Cricetulus griseus: one gene and its partners. The protein of the gene in region 2 purifies or fractionates together with the protein of the main gene of each other region. This does not show direct contact. Links are inferred from orthologs where the notes say so. Each region holds a gene or a part of one and is shown on either strand. Other genes may lie near its edges.

Region 1 (6,556 bases), on a different chromosome or scaffold from region 2:
ATTAGTACAATGGGTAAATTAGTGGGCACCTGCACTCACTTGCACACACCAACATACACACACACACACACACCATACATACATACATACATACATACATACATACATACATACATAATAAAAATAATTTTTAAAGGGTAGGGGCCTAGGGAATCCAAAGCCTCCATTGACATGAGAGGCAGATGCAGGCAGATCAACCTGGTCTACAGAGTGAGATCCAGGATGGCCAGGAATATACAGAGAAACCCTGTCTCAAAAAAAAAAAAAAAAAAAAGAAAAGAAAGAAAGAAAGCTTTTGTAAGTTTTAAAATAGATAATTCCACCATTTAATTCACAAGAAGGCCCTCACAAGAAAATATGGCTGTATTTTACTTACATTCTTCCTACACCTTCATACATGTTAGTCTCATCTACCAGCGTCATGATCTCTGTGTCTGTAAGGTGTGCATGCTTTTTCGTTCTGTTTAGCTGTTCAATCTGTATGTCTGCAAGCTTCACTTTCTGTTGAGTATCAATAACTTTGGCTTGAAGCTCTGTGAAGGCCTAAGAAAAAACAAGTCCGTGATTTAGAATGGAAACATTTAAGTCAAATCCAGATTTATTAAAACAGAACATACTAACCAAAGCTGTGAAATTCACCAAAATAAACATAAATGAGAGTCAACAGAATTCTAATACTATGCTAGATTCTAAATGTACCCTGTTCACAGACAATGTGATCAATATGAACAAGCAAAGCAAAAGCCTATTAAATAATTGTATTTGAAATAACCAAATAATAATAAAAGGAATAAGTAAAATACTTGGGATAAAGCTCAGAGATCCAAAACAAGAATTATTCAAAGCACTTCACATTACTTCAAAATCCTGGCTGGAGACCCAGACCTGGTGTCTCATGCCTGTAATCCTAACAACTGGGAGGCAGAAACAGAGGACAGAGTAGTTCAGGACACAGCACACAAGATATTCAAGGCCAGCCTGGGCTATAAGACACCTTGTCAGAAAAAGAATTTTATTAGGGCCAGTGAGATTGGCTCAGCAGATAAAGGCACCTGACATCAAGCCTGATGACCTAAATTTGATCCCTGGGAGCTACATAGTAAGAGAGAACTGACTCACTCAAGTTGTCCCCAACCTCAATGTGTGCACTCACACTCAAACACACACACACACACACACACACACACACACACACACACACACACACACACACTTTTTTTTTTAAATTAAGATAGAGAGACAGACAGACAGACAGATGTCCATGAGCTTGCTCAGCAGGTAAAGTTTCTTACGACCAAGCCTAACAACCTGAGTTACATACCTGGAACCTGAACCCACATGGTAAAAGGAGAAAACCAGACCCCCAAAACTATATTCTGACCTCCACATAATGACCACACACTAGCATGTGTGTGCCCACAATTACAAGCCAGGGATAGAGGTACACACTCTTAATCCCAGCACTAAAGGGGAAGAGGCAAGAGGAGCTCTTGTAATTTCAGGATCAGCCTGGTCTACATAGGGAGTTCCAGCTAATCAGAGCTTTATAAAAAAAAAAAGGGGGGGGTGAGATTTACAGCATGAGAGAATGCTGTATAAGATTAAGTCTACATGTTTTAAGTAAAGAATGGCAAAGAGCAGCCAAGAGGTGGTGGTGCATAGCTTTAATCCCAGCACTCAGGAGGCAGAAGCAGGCAGATCTCTGTGAGTTCAAAGCCAGCCTGGTCTACAAAGCTACACACAGAAACCCTGTCTCAACCCCCCCACCAAAAAAAAGACGAACATACTTAGCATCCCCGGAACAATAACAAATGGCTTCTTTTATTAGCAATAACAGCTATTTCAGCTGTCCTATTGCTTAGGCAAAGGGTAAACAGAGGCAGCTACTTAAGATGTTACTGGGAGCTGGGGAAATGTTCAGTCAGCAGACCTAGGATCACTCCCCAGGACCCACAAAGAAAGTTAAGTTTGAGAGCCGGAGGGATGACTCAGGGGGGGTTAAGAGTACTACTCGGTGTTCTTGCAGAAGACCCAGGTTTGGTTCGCAGTACCCACATAGCAGCTCACAACCACCTGTAACTACAGTTTCAGAGGGAATCCAAGGCCCTTTTCTGCCCTGAGGGGGCTGTACATACATGCTATACAGTCATGCAGGCAAGACACCTACATACGTAACAATACAACTTGTTGTTGTTGTTTAATGCTAGGCATGGAGACAGAGGAAGAAAAGAGGATCCTTTAAGCTCACCAGCTAGACAATCTAGCCAAAGTGGCAATCTTCTAGGTCCCAATGAGTGGTCATCTCAAAACACAAGATGAACAGTCCCTGCCTTGTATGCAGGAAGCCCTAAGAGCAATTTCTGGCACTGGGGAAACTGGGTGTAGTGGTACATGCCAGCTACATAGCCAAGTTCCAGGCCAGCCCAGGCTACATGAGACCCTGTCTCTGAGGGGAAAACAAAACAAAATCAGAATCTGGGCCAGTGAGATGGCTCATCTTGTCTAAAGGCAAGAGTTCAATCCTCAGGGCCCACTTGAACCAATTCCTAAAAGTTGTTCCCTGACCTCCCCTGAGCAATTTGCAGGTGTGTCTACATGTACACACATAAAAATACACAACTTTTTAAAGTAAGTTGCTCACCTACAGAACCTACTGATCAAAATGTTATGATCATACCAAATTCTAGACTCCATTTTTGAAATGTATTTTTTATTATGTGTTTGAGTATAGGCCAGTGTGCTGGAGTGTGAGTCTGAGACATTATAGAAAAAACTTTGAGCAGTTCTGTCCTTCCACCATGGGTTCCAAGGACAAAACTTTAAACAGCCAGGCTATCGGGCAAGTGGCCCATCTTGCTGCCTGGGGCTCAAATCTTGTAAGATGTTTCTTGCCAGTGACCCTAGCAAACGTCTGTTATCCTAACACTCAGGAGATAGTGACACTAAAGAGCATTAGGGCTTCAGGGCCTGATCAAACAAAACAAACAAACCACACACTTAAAAACACTAGAAGTTTACTTTTCTAGAAAAATAGATTTAGCGGGCAGTGGTAGCACACACCTTTAGTCCCAGCACTCTGGAGGCAGAGGCAGGTGGATCTCTGTGAGTTCGAGACCAGCCTGGTCTACAAGAGCTAGTTCCAAGACAGGCTCCAAAGCTACACAAAGAAACCATGCATCAAAAAACCAAAAAATAAATAAATAAAAAGAAAGAAGGAAAGAAAACAAAGTAGATTTAAACTGAATGAATTATAGGGTTCTTTATAACTATAGGCAACTCTCCACAAAGAAAGCACAGAGGGGTCTTAATATTGTTAGGATCCTAAGACTTTTAAGTGGCAAAATGTTTCCAATTAACAACCCGCTTTATAAACCAGCGTTTGACTCGATTGTAATTCCAGCCCGGCAGTGGCGAAAGCCTTTAATCCCAGCAATCCGAAGGCAGAGGCAGGCGGATCTCTGTGAGCTCCAGGCCCAGCCTGGTCTACAGAGTGAGTTCCAGGTCAGCCTGGACTGTTCACAGAGAAACCCTGTCTCGAAAACCAAAAACGATTGTAATTCCAGACCTCAAGAGGCTAAGGCAGGAAGACTGCCTGGAGTTCAAAGCCAGCTTAGCTACACAGTTAAGTCCCAAACGAATCTAGGGCACACTGAGATACCGTCTCTAAAAAACAAAGCAAAAACAAAAACCATTTATAAGAAACGGATTGAGCAAAAAGAAAAATCCAATTCCTCGGACCACGCCTTCGGAAAACCTTACTGGATTGGGGGGGGGGGGGGGCGGAGGCAAATTCTTTAAAAAGAAGATAGGCAAGGAGCATTAAGGCCTTGACATGAGCATTGGTATAACAGTGTCTGGTTTTCTGAGGTATAGAAACAAGGACGTTTCAAAGAGTGGTACAGAATAAGTGACCTAAAAGCAAATGTTAAATTTGGAAGTTTTTCAAATCAAATGAGGAAACCGAATTACAGTTGGTGCCTCGGCTCCAAAGAGCACTATGAAGGGCATCCGTGTGAGACGCTGTCTTCGGTCTTGCTTTGAAAGTGGGTCCCTGATGGCTCCAAAATGCAGAGAGAGGATGCGAGTGCAGGACGTGAGGGCATACCGCAGCCCGCTAACCCGCTCGCCCACCGGCCCGGAGCAGCCCCTGCCACCGAGAGCCCCCGGGACCCCGAAGCCGCGCGGCCCCGTCTCAGGACTCCAGGGAGCCAGCCCCGGCCCCTACAGTCTCCTTCCTTCAGCGAGACTCGAGTCCCCCTCTCATTCTTGTCCCCACTCGCTTCATCATTCAAACAGAAGGCTCAGCCTGCTCCACAGCCCCCGTTACCTTCTTCAACTCCAGATCCACGGGGGCCGCCATATTGGAGCTCTCTATGCGCCTGCGTTAGACGCAAGCCGGAAAGGGATGGGGGAAGGGCGCTTTCAGGTTTAATTGCGAGGCTTCCTTCTGCGCCTGCGCGTAAATCAAACTCCAACCCAGATTTCTCACTCGGTATATCTACCCTACTCCACCACCCCGGCATGACACAAGTGACCCTAAACACTGGAAATTCCGATAAACTGTGATAGAGGAGTAACTGCTCAGGTGTGGCTCTTAGCTCCCACACACAATTAGACAAACATCTTTGGGCTGCAGAATTGAAACAGGTGTTATTGGTCATCACAGCCGTCAACCATTCAGTCCTTCAGGTAATCCCGGTGCTGTCAAGAGATGTATAAAGCCCCCAGCTTCCCGCAACCCAGTAAAACCATTGGAAGATGTGATTGGAATATTCACCCAGAAAGATCTTAATTCTGCTAGAGCCTCCTCAAAGATTTTCTAAGATAGTGCTTTTCAAAACAAGCCACATATAATTTCTGCCTGGGGATGTAGTTCAGTTAGCAGAGTACTTGCCTAGCACAATTGAAACTCTGGGATTGTTCCACAGCACTGCATGAAATAAGTGTGATGGTGCAGGCCTGCGCACCAAACGTTAGATAGATGGAGGGAGACAGGAGGATCAGAAGTCCAAGGTCAGATCAGCAAGACGGCCTAGGGAATAAAGGTGCCTGCCCCCAAGACTGACTACATGAGTTCAATCTCAAGAACCCAAGTGGTGCAGAGAACTGACTTCCACAAGGTATCCTCTGACATCTATGTTTGTGGCCCGACACAGGCTTAGGCACACACACACATACAATAAGTGAATGCACATTTTAAATTACAATTAGGAAATGGAGGAATAGGTCAGCAGTTAAAGAGCATGTACTCTGACTCTCAGTACCCATGTCAGATAGCTCACAAAGAGCTGTATCTCCAGCTTCAGGGAAACCCAACACCTCTAGCCTCTGCAGCACCTACACTTATATGCTCACACACCCACATGTACACATGAATACATAATTAAAAGTAATAAGAATATGGGGCTGGAGAGATGTCTCAGTGGTTAAGGACAGTGACTGCTCTTCCAGAGGACCAGGGTTCAATTCCTACATGGGTTCAATACACCCACATGGCAGCTCACAACTGCCTGTAGTTTCAGTTTCAGGGGATCTGACACCCTCACACAGACATGCAGGCAAAATGCCAATGCATATAAAATAAGTAAATTGAGAAGAAGAAGAAGAAGAAGAAGAAGAAGAAGAAGAAGAAGAAGAAGAAGAAGAAGAAGAAGAAGAAGAAATCTTTTAAAAATTAAAAAAGCTCAGGTTATCCTCAGCAGCATAAAGAGTTGGGGGTCAGTTTGGGCTACATGAGACCTGTCTCAAAAAGAAAAACTAAAAAATAATAGATGAGGATCAAGCATGTTAGTCTATGCCTGTGATCCCAGCACTAGGGAAACTGAGGCAGAAGGATCACCATGAATTAAGGGCAGTCTTATAGTTGGGGTTTCTGTTCTGCCTGGTCCCTCTACTGAATAGCCCCAAATAAGCACACAAAGACACTAATTATTAAACTGTTGGCCAATGGCTCAGGCTTCTTACTGGCTAACTCTCTCTTAATTATTAACCCATAACTGCTAATCTATGTATTTCTACATGGCCTTATCTTACCAAAAAAGGCTCCAGCATGTTATTCCTTCAGCGACTACATGGCATCCCTGGCAGCCTCTCTCTCTGCGTCCTCTCCCCAGCCTTTTCCTCATCTGGTAGCCCCACCTATACTTCCTGCCTGGCTACTGACCAACCAGTGTTTTATTCATCAACCAATAAGAAAAACATATATACAGAAGGACATCGCCCATCACAGTCTGCTCATGATTCCAGGACAGTGTAGGCTATTTATACAGGGACACCATGCCAAGAAAGAGACAGTGGCAGGGTACCAACTGGGATCTTATACAGATATATATTTTGGCTTTGGTTCTGTCATTCTTTCATTCCTTCTTGGCATACTGTATACTTCTTAAATATGAGGACTTGTGTAATCCTAGAGACTGTACAGCCAGTGTCTGTCTAGAAGTATGTTGAAGCATCATGTCTCTCAACCTCTGCTTTACACTTCCTATCTCTCTGAGCTAGACCATGGCTTTCTACAATTCACTTCACCAATTTAAGGATTGTCTCTTCAACTGTG
Region 2 (5,251 bases):
GCACTTTGCCACTAAGCTATGTCCCCAGCCCCCAAATTTCCCTTAATCTTTCCCCCTTCTTGTCTCTCAGTGGACAAGAGGCCAGGTAGGTACCCCCTTTTCAGCAGCAGATGTTCAATGAGAGGCCTGGAGGTGGTGTGTGTTCTGTTTTAGCAACTCCCCAATACTCACTATAGTCCTTACTAAACTGGCTCCGCAGTGCCAGGCCTGGGGGGCAGGGCAGGACCATGCAGAGCCCCTGAGGGTACTGAGCCTTCATCATCCAGTCCCTTATCCTCTTGCTTCTAGGTTTTCCAGAAAAGATTTAACGGCTCAGTGAGTTTCTTCCGGGGCTGGAACGACTACAAGCTGGGCTTTGGCCGTGCTGATGGGGAGTACTGGCTGGGTAAGGTGGGGCCACAGGGTAGGGGCTGCCCCTCAGCCAAGTTTTTGCTAACCAGCTGCTACCCATCCCTAGGGCTGCAGAACCTGCACCTCCTGACGCTGAAGCAGAAGTATGAGTTGCGAGTGGACTTGGAAGACTTTGAGAACAATACAGCCTATGCCAAGTATGTTGACTTCTCCATCTCCCCCAACGCCGTCAGTGCTGAGGAGGATGGCTATACCCTCTACGTGGCTGGCTTCGAGGATGGCGGGGCAGGTACCCCTATCAGCTTCTTCAGAGGCAGTGGCAGGGCAGGGGGCGGGGCACAATAACATAGGATTGGCCCCTGCCCCATTGGCTCCTTAAAGATCCTCCTTCAACCCTTCTGGACTTGGAAGAGCCACAGCTCTCTCCAGACTAACTCCAGCCACCTGAACCCCAGCCCTAGGGAACAGCCACCCTGGCCTTGCTCCAGAACAGCTGTTTCTCTTTGTGGCTCAGGGAGGGTGCCTCCATCCCAACAGGATGCCACATGATGTTGTTCTGTCCCCCAGTGTCATCCATCAACTGCTGTCACTTAGACTGCCAGCACAAGGCTCTGCTCCTGGCCTCAGTAGTTCTATCCTCTCTCCCTCCTGCCAGGTGACTCACTGTCCTACCACAGTGGCCAGAAGTTCTCCACCTTCGACAGAGACCAGGACCTCTTCGTGCAGAACTGTGCAGCCCTCTCCTCAGGGGCCTTCTGGTTCAGAAGCTGCCACTTCGCCAATCTCAACGGCTTCTACCTGGGTGGTTCCCACCTCTCCTATGCCAATGGCATCAACTGGGCCCAGTGGAAAGGCTTCTACTACTCCCTCAAGCGTACTGAGATGAAAATTCGTCGGGCCTGAGGAGCTGGCTCAGGCAGGCCCCATCTCTCCCCTAGAAGCCCCAAGTCTCCAAGATATACCCACAAGACACTGCTTCTGCTGCTTTCTGAGCACCAGCAATGCCCTGGCAAATCCCTGTCCCATGTCCAGACCCTATTGCTTTCCTGAGGCTAGGCTGTCAGCAGCCCATTAGTCCTTTCTGTGGCCCAGCCATCCCAGCATGGATCTGGCTGCACCCTATAAAAACTCCAAGTTGCTTCTACTCCTTCCTGACAGCTGGAAGCCAAAAGCTACCTTCTAGTTGCCAGCTTTTGCATTCCACCACAGCCAATTCCCTTACTGCAGACCCATCTGTTTGGGGCTACCCTAGACGGCATAATGCAGCACCTATGGCATTTGCCACTATTACACCCCAGCACTCCCACCCAGAATACTTCCCACCCTTGGTCTCCCCCTCACCAATTCATTCCCTTATAGTGAGCACCATGGAGCCCAACTCCACCTGCCTTCACTAGTTATTCAGAGTTCAATGCCAAAACAACATTCACCACCACTACTCATCAACCCTGAAGTAGCCACCGGCAAGATAGGCATGTTAACTAGGTCCCTTACTTGCCCCAAGGATTGTCATGAAAGGCAGCAGCAGGGAATAATTTGTGGGGCTGGGAGTGGGTGGGAAGTGGAGGTCTCAATAAACCTTCAGGATCTGATGGAGTGACCTTGTGGACAAACACTTACTTGGCCCCAAATAATGCGGGCACCTGGCTCTTCCTTATACGCCTACTGCTGGTGTTCTTACCCCAGGTCCAGAAATGACACACAGTCAGCTTAAAAGAAACCTTATATTTCACAGACCTCATTTTGATGGCAAAACAAATGCATATTACAACAATAAAAATACAATACTGGAGAAGACTGCTCAGGGGGAGTAGTCTCCCAATCCTGTTATGGCTCGGTGGTGGCTCAGGTGGCTGCTTAAGGCTGAAAGGTGGGTCTGAGATGAACCTGCAGAGTAACTCAAGCTGAGCCTCACCTGCCAGTGCCAAGGCTGCAGGCCTCTGGATTGCATCCCTGGACCTTGAAGCTGGGTCTGTCCTGACAGCAAGGCACAAGCTGTGGGTTTCAGGGCTCCTGGAGGTCAGGCAGGTCAGCCAGCAGCATTGGGGAGTCCATCTGGATTTCACGCTGCAGAGACTCGATGTCAGCCGGGTTCATGCCGTGGCCCTCAAGCCAGTCAGCCAGGAGGGAGGCTGAGAGTGAAGCTGAGTCTGCCTGGCTGCAAGAAAAAGGAATTGGGATGGGTGTTCTCAGCCTGAGCCAGCTGGGCAGCCATCCAAGGACCCTGCCATAGCCCCATTCCAGGAGCTCAGTCCAACCATCTTACCCATCCTGTGGCCCATCAGCCACACCCATATCGAAAGATTGGTTTAAGAATTCCTCTAGGTCAAAGCCAACACCGTAGCCAGCCCCACTGCCCTTTGGAGTGCCTGAAAACACAGGAGGCAGGGGGTCCTCCACCTGCAGGGACAATAACAGGTTACAACACAGGTTCCAGGAAGGACAAATTAAGGTCAGCAGGACACAGCCTGCTATTACTCACCACTCTGACCAATATCCCAGAACATGAACACGATCTCAAAATCAAAAATCAAGTACTAAGACAACTGGTGCTGTCTCTAGGCCACTTTCTAGAGTCTACTTCCCAACAACCTCTTCACTGTGATAAGAGGGCAGGCTCAAAGAGGTAACAATCCCTTTGCTACTTTTTTCCATCCAACATGGTAACCCAAACCCACCTTCCAGGACCCAGATCAAGGTACCCAGGCCTTTGTCTCTCTTCTCACCTGAGACTTAGACAGTTGCTGGGTCACCAGGTTGACATCTGGTGACTCTGATGTAGAAGGCTGAGGGGGGCCCCCAGGATCTGGAGGTGGTGGGCCAGATGGGAAGTAAGGCAGAACTTCTGGGGCACTGGAGCCAGGCAACCCACTAGTTGGCACAAGTGACTGAGAGGCCAGAAGGCTAGTGGAAGGGGCAGTTTGGAGTGGGGCAGGGATAGGTCCAGGAGGGCCAGAAGGCTGGGGAGCAGGGCCAGTGGGTGGGCAAACAGGCTGGGAGGCAGGACCAGGAATAGAGCCTGCAGGCTGTAGAGGAGGACCAGCAGACTGAGATACAGGGCCAGTGGGAGGACTAGCAGGTTGGGCAGGGGATGGAGCTGGGGCTGGGGCTGGAGTTGGGGCAGGAGGCCGAGCCATGCGAGTCCACCGCTCTAGCAGGCTTCGGTCATTGTCACTAAGCACCAGTCCAGCCAGAGGGTCAGTAGAGGGCCCCCCCAAGGCACCAGCTCCTCTCTCCTTGCGTTCCCTCTCTTGTCGTCGCTTCTCCCTCTCCTTGGCTCTCTCTTGTCGCCTCCTACGCTTCTCTTCTCGCTCTCGCTGGCGTTCCTGAGCTGTCACAGGCTTTCGAGGTTCAGGTGCCTCCAAGGGTGCACTGGGGCCATCTGCAGGGCAGTTGGACAGGGAAAGGTAAGGGCTTACAATTCTGTTCAAGAGTCCTTGTCTACCACTCCACTAGCCAGCCAGCTGCTAGACCCATGAAAGCACCTCTGAGTCGGCTCCTCAGGGACTTGAGCAGGGCAGCTTTGAGGGCTGCTTTGGTGTTGTCTGAGATGGCACCCTCTCTTTTTGGTGGGGCAAGCTCACTGGCTGGGGGCGCAGGCTTCAGAGTCAGATCAACAGTGTCAGGTGCAGGGCCAGAGCATGGTGGTGGTGCTGGAGGAGGTGACTCCATGGCACAGTCTCCACTTGGAGCCCAGGGACTGGGCATCTCAACATCTGGACACACAGGCTCACTAGCCACAGGCTGCAGAGAAGGCTGGAAGCGGATTTGTTGGCGGATGCCCTCCCGTCGTGCATGGAAGTCCTCAATCTCAGCCACAATGGCTTCCTTAATGCGCTCCCTAGTAAGGGCTTCACGGTCAAAAGCAAAGTCAAAAGGTGGGGCACAATCAGGCTCATCATCAGGGTCATGGTACTTAGCCAGGAAGGGGTGACGAAGGGCAGCAGCAGCTGAGATCCGGGCACTGGGTTCAAATCGCAACATGCGGCCCAGCAGTGAGAGGGCCTGGCGGTCAGCACCTGGGTATACTGTCTCCCAGGGTACAGGCTGCCGTGGTGGCAGGCTCTGGATATATGCCCGCACCCTTTCAGCCCCCACAGCCTGAATCACAGCTGGTGATGGGGTTCCCAACACCATCATGATCAGCTGTAACTGGTGCACATAGTTTTTGCCTGGGAAGAGTTGTCGCCGAGCCAGCATCTCACCAAAGATGCAGCCCACAGACCAGAGGTCAATAGCCTGTGTGTACTCATGCAGGGAAAGCATGAGTTCAGGGGCACGGTACCAGCGAGTGGCCACGTACTCAGTCATGAAGTACTGGTGTTCAGCAGGGGAGGTACACAGCCCACGGGCCATTCCAAAGTCACCAATCTTGAGCTCACAGTTCTCATTCACCAAAAGGTTAGAGGGTTTAAGGTCACGGTGGATGACCTGAGCAGAGTGCATATACTTGAGGCCCCGAAGCAGCTGGTACAAGAAGTATCGCACATGCTCCAGTGTGAGTGGCTGTGAGGAGTGGATGATCTGGTGTAGGTCACTCTCCATGAGGTCCAGTACTACATAGCTGGAAATGGTGACAAAAGGTGTGAGCTGGTCTCATATTACAGGGACAAGCACAATCCTCACTAGCCCTCCTCTCAATTCTAGATATTATGGCCTTACACTGAAACCCTAAAGGACTAGCAGATGATATAAAAAAAAATAGCATCAGGTTCTAGATTTTTCTACATCACAAAAAGCTTAAAAGTTGGCTGGGCGTTGGTGGCACACGCCTTTAGTCCCAGCCCTTGGGAAGCAGAGGCAGGCGGATCTCTGTAAGTTCGAGGCCAGCCTGGTCTACAGAGCAAGTGCCAGGATAGGCTCCAAAGGTACACAGAGAAACCCTGTCTCAAAAAACAAA
Region 3 (4,677 bases), on a different chromosome or scaffold from region 2:
GGGCTCTGGAGCCAAGCAGCCCGGCACATGTCCTAGTCTGCTGCTTGGAAACTGGGCCACTTGATCACAGCCCCCAACTTCTGGCCATCCAGAGGCCATCAGGGCTCAGCCTCCAAATCCCTCTTCTACAGTGGCAGGAGTCTGTCTCAGGAGTGTGGGAAGCTACTATTTAGCAGGCATGGGTTTATTTTGGGCTCCAGATCAGAGGGGTCTGGAGTTGGAGATCCTGGCAGCCTAGTCGTGCATTTTTTCACGAAAATGAGCACGATGCTGCTGAATAGTGCATGAAAAAAACATTGAAAATGGTAAGTTTCCGTTAGGGGTAATTCATCTCTGCATTCTCTTGAAGTAAGATTCCACAGGGCACTTCTCAGGCTCTGGCTGAAATGAAGCATAAGCCAAGAGCTGGTCACCTCCTGCCAGCCCAATCTGGTCCTGTGACCCGTCAGCCCACTATCTAGATGCTGAATACACTGGGCACAGGAAGTAACACCCCCAAAGATATCTGTCACACTCTTTGTCCCATCCCACAGAATCCTGGAGTCCAGTTGTGCCTGACTCATGATCCCTGGGAGCAGCCCCTCAGACCCCACCCCAGCAGCCCAGGACAAGGCAGTAAGTGCAAACGGTGAACAAGGAAAGGGGTATTTGGTCATCTTTAGCTTGTCTGACTTTCATGGAGTAGAATTAAGACACCTTTTGGGCTCACTGCCCAGAGATAAAACAGGGGATGAAAATATTTATTTGTTTCTAAGACTCTTGCTATCCCAGATGAAAAGCCCACCTTGGTTGTAACTTACTGTGATTCGAGCTGTTTTGAGGCAGGCCCTCCTCACCACAGTCCCCTAACTTGCTCCAGTTTTGGGCAAGAGGTTCATCAGTCACTCTGGGGAAAAAAGTGGGACCCCTGTCCCAACAGAAACTGAATACACTAAATGAGAATTATTCCCTATTGGCACCAGGGAGTCATAAATAGCCCAGTGGCCCCAGCTGAATCACCAGAGCTAGTCCTGTGTCAGCATTTCTGCATAAACCAGGGTTTGCTAGGGGATTAGCTCACAGCCATAAAAAATTCTGCTGTAGGCTAAAGCCTGGCCTAAAGGAAATCTCAGCCCAGGAATAGATACTGGAAAGAAAGCCAGATGACGCAGCCCCCAAGCCTCTCAAGACAAGGGTGCCTGTCACCAGGGTCTCTTCAGGAGGGCTCTGCAGCCCTCAGCAGACATTGGTGATTCAAGACATTGACTGTACCTGTCATAGTTCAAATTTGGGTTTTTGATGCTGCTGTTTGTTGTTGTTGTTGTTGTTGTTTTAAAAAGATGTCTGCTGCTTTGAGAACTTGGAAAACTTGAACTTGAATTGAGCATGTGTGATCCAAAGCCTTTCCCTTCCCTGACGGTGAACAGTAAGGGAAGAGGTACTGAGCTAGGCTGGGACCCGGCTCACGCCCCTGACTGCTCACACATCTCACAGGTAACACTCTGAGAGCTCTGGGCCTGGACTGGGCTCACACCCCTGACTGCTCACACCACAGGTAACACTCTGAGAGCCAAGCTCAGGGACCTAGCCATGTGTAACACAAGCAGGCAAGTAGGGAAGGGCACCATCTCGTAGATAAAACCAGGCCCTTCTTAAAAATTTAGGAGTAATTAAGCTTTAAAATATTCAAACCCCTTTCTTTTAAGGGCTTTTAGGTTTTATGACTTAGAAAGCTGTCCATTCCTGCCTTATAGACACATTCTCTCAATTTTCTCCTAATGTTTTATATAATTATAAAGTGGTTATGTTTATATATTATAAATAAGATATTTATATCATATATAAAATATAATTGCTATATAATTATTGTAGACAGCCTACAATAATTATATAGCTATTATATTTTATATACAAATTTTTTCTGTTTAACTGATTTTAATAACATGACATAAAGCCCCTAAAATTGATATAATCATTATGCAAAATACATATATGAATACTGTCTTCTTTTTAAAATATAAAATAAATAAGTAAGACATGTGAAAATAGGCAAGTTTCCATTAAATGAAAAATTCTTAAAAAGAAGGTTTTCCCTTCGTTTCATTTAAAGAAGGAAAACGACCATTTAAGACAATATTCAAGTTTATTAAACAAGGTTAAAAAAGGTATTATAAAATGTTTAGCTTTCATCCACCCCAAGGTTTATGTTGCTGCCAAATTTTGTGTATAACTGTACTTTCAGGTTGGCTAATACCCACTGGATGGCTCCCACTCTGGACTCTAAGGCGTCGATCTCTTCTTGCAAAGTTTTCTTTGCTTCTTCTAACATCTCCTGGGCTTCTTCTTGAGAGTGGCTAATGAGAACATCTCTGATCAGGTATTGGGTCATGAAGCAGTCACCATCTGCCAGCATGATGTCGTTGAAAGTGTCTTCTAAATTCTGGAGGTGGTTCTTCTTCACTTCTATCTCCTTTTGCTCTGTGATTCGACTCGTATCTCGAGCAAATTTGTTTATTTTTTGTTGATCTTCGAAAGTAACATTGACGTCTTCTGCAGCCGCCTTCTTCATGGTGGCCACCATCTTGGACTCATAAATTTTTAAGAAGCTATTTTTGTCACATACTTTGTGTGACAAAAAAAATATATGGGAGGAAAGTGTTTGTCACACATAAGCCACAGGTTTGCACTCTGCTGTGATAAGGAATGGAGCGCAGTTTAAAGATGAGGAAATGAACACTAACAAGAGTGAGAACGTACAGAACAACAGCAGTAGCTAGGGAAAGAGGAATCGGAAGATGAAGATGATGGTACTCTGGTCTGGAAAAGACTTCCATGCTGCTTTGTTTTCAAAACATAAAACATTATTTTATAATATTTTAAGTAGAAAAAACTTTAATTACTCCAAAATATAGTTTATTGAAGAGGGGAAGTAGTTATAGACACTCAAGATGTGCTTAATCACCACACAGACTAACCTATGGCCGCTGTGGCAGAGCCTCTGGTTCTCTGCTTAGACCCTGGGGCAGAGAAGTCAGCAGTCTTGGGAGGCAAAGCTTGGGATACACAAGCGTTTGCCTTGAGAGTCCCGGAGAATACAGCACCCATGCAATCCTCCTCAGGCAGCATTTGCACTATGAGGGCAGCGAGCATCCAGTTCCACAGTGAAGAAAGCAACTGACCTGGGAATTACTGTTACGGGAGGCACAGAGAGCAGTCGGTTTCACCTGTGGTGACTGCTGAATGGAAGACTGTGGTTTCCCCACAGAGCCTTCCTCAGTCAAACGGGTGACACCGTGTATGCCTAGAGCTCAGACAAGTCTTGCTAAAACTTACATTTTAGACTGCATGGGCACAGTAAAGCCAGCTCTGAGGAGAGACACACCCTTGCCTTCAAGTCCCCTCTCGCAGCCCTCAGGATGCTGATTCTTGTTGAGAGAGTGGACAGGCTTGCTCGGTGTGGTGCATGAGAACTCCTGGAGGACGCATGTCCCTGCTGCTGGCCATTCGCAGCCCACACCCATAAGGAATCACTTTGCTCTGCTCAGCTTCAGGCCCTGCCCTAAAAGGATGTGTGCAAGACAGACCTCGCAGACAGTGCCCTTACAGTGCAACCCTCATTCTAGCTGCACACCTAACTCAGGCCTCAGCCCTTAACGCAGGTGTGACCTTTCTCATGGTCTCACAGCTGCCCCCCAACCTACCTTCTCCTGCAAACCCCACAAATGACTGTAACTTCTTCAGAGCCCAAAGGGCCTGGCTTTCTTCCTCAACATCAGCACCCCTTGTTTTGTGAAATCTTTACTTTCTGGTCACAAGAGCTAAAGAACCTTCGTTTGTCCCACAGAGCTTCAGTGAACACTCCTTATAAGCCAGGGTCAGGGTGCAGCAGCAAGGGAAACAGACAGAGCTCTGCCCTAGAGGGATTTAAATTTTATCACAACAGGCAAAATTAAATTCATTCATAAATATCTAGTTTAAGTGCTACAATACCTAGCAAGGCTATGGAGGGCCAGGACGGGTAGCCGTGGGGTTGACAGGGTGTTCTGTGAGGTTCCTTCCTGTGGGAGGGTGATGGCTCTTAAATGTGGGCTAGAGTGAAGAGTTGGTCTGTAATGGGCTTACTTCTCACCTTGCTCCCTTTTACTACAGTCCCATTCTCTCTGCACAGGAGACTCTAACTTCAACAAAAGCGTATTTGGGTAATCCGATATAAACTAAATTTAAACTTTGACCTCCGACAATAAAATTACTACTTTCCCTCTCTCTGAAGACCCGAAAAGCAGATGAAGGGCCTACTAGCCTCACTTTCTGCATTTCTAACTTACTCCTAAGATGATTCTAAGCTTCACTCAGAACCATCTGGGAACAGGTCAGGCCTGCGGTGGGCAGCTAGCGCGGAGCCCTTCTCCCCTTCTCGTTCTGTAGAGAAGCCACACATTTCTGGTTCTTGCAGCCTAGCTTCTGCTCTGTGGTACTGCTGCTTGGGGCCAAGTCGGAGCTGCAAACACAAAATCCAACTGCTGCCTTCCACCATACGAAAAATCTGTGCCGATTCCCATTTTGTAAGAACCGCTTTAATCCCCGCTGTGGGTCAAGGTTAAGTGTGGGCTTACTCCAATCTGCCCCACGTCATGTTATAATTCCTGTAGGTTATCGGACTTGGAAATGAAGGCAATTGCAGGGTCCACGTGGGGCTGT

What was found. Proteins that work in one complex are often made in the same cells at the same time.
Region 1: the proteins of Mapk7 (region 2) and Pfdn1 purify together in Homo sapiens (affinity purification with mass spectrometry; 3 studies listed by BioGRID and IntAct, with this or other methods). This does not show direct contact. The link is inferred for Cricetulus griseus from reciprocal best matches to the Homo sapiens genes MAPK7 and PFDN1.
Region 3: the proteins of Mapk7 (region 2) and prefoldin subunit 4 purify together in Homo sapiens (affinity purification with mass spectrometry; 3 studies listed by BioGRID and IntAct, with this or other methods). This does not show direct contact. The link is inferred for Cricetulus griseus from reciprocal best matches to the Homo sapiens genes MAPK7 and PFDN4.

What each region holds. Positions count from the first base shown.
Region 1 is NC_048595.1:201,063,293-201,069,848, reverse strand, and holds the start of Pfdn1 (prefoldin subunit 1), read right to left. Parts: upstream 4,459-6,556; 5' UTR 4,361-4,458; coding exon 4,328-4,360; intron 544-4,327; coding exon 377-543; intron 1-376. UniProt on the Homo sapiens protein: Binds specifically to cytosolic chaperonin (c-CPN) and transfers target proteins to it. Binds to nascent polypeptide chain and promotes folding in an environment in which there are many competing pathways for nonnative proteins.
Region 2 is NC_048600.1:75,490,682-75,495,932, forward strand, and holds the end of Mapk7 (mitogen-activated protein kinase 7), read right to left. Parts: intron 4,916-5,251; coding exon 3,837-4,915; intron 3,734-3,836; coding exon 3,078-3,733; intron 2,752-3,077; coding exon 2,618-2,751; intron 2,510-2,617; coding exon 2,356-2,509; 3' UTR 2,057-2,355; downstream 1-2,056. Other genes in the region: Mfap4 (microfibril-associated glycoprotein 4), read left to right, coding at 289-385, 458-640, 1,007-1,254. UniProt on the Homo sapiens protein: Plays a role in various cellular processes such as proliferation, differentiation and cell survival. The upstream activator of MAPK7 is the MAPK kinase MAP2K5.
Region 3 is NC_048596.1:275,035,019-275,039,695, reverse strand, and holds prefoldin subunit 4, read right to left. Parts: upstream 2,561-4,677; coding exon 2,159-2,560; downstream 1-2,158. UniProt on the Homo sapiens protein: Binds specifically to cytosolic chaperonin (c-CPN) and transfers target proteins to it. Binds to nascent polypeptide chain and promotes folding in an environment in which there are many competing pathways for nonnative proteins.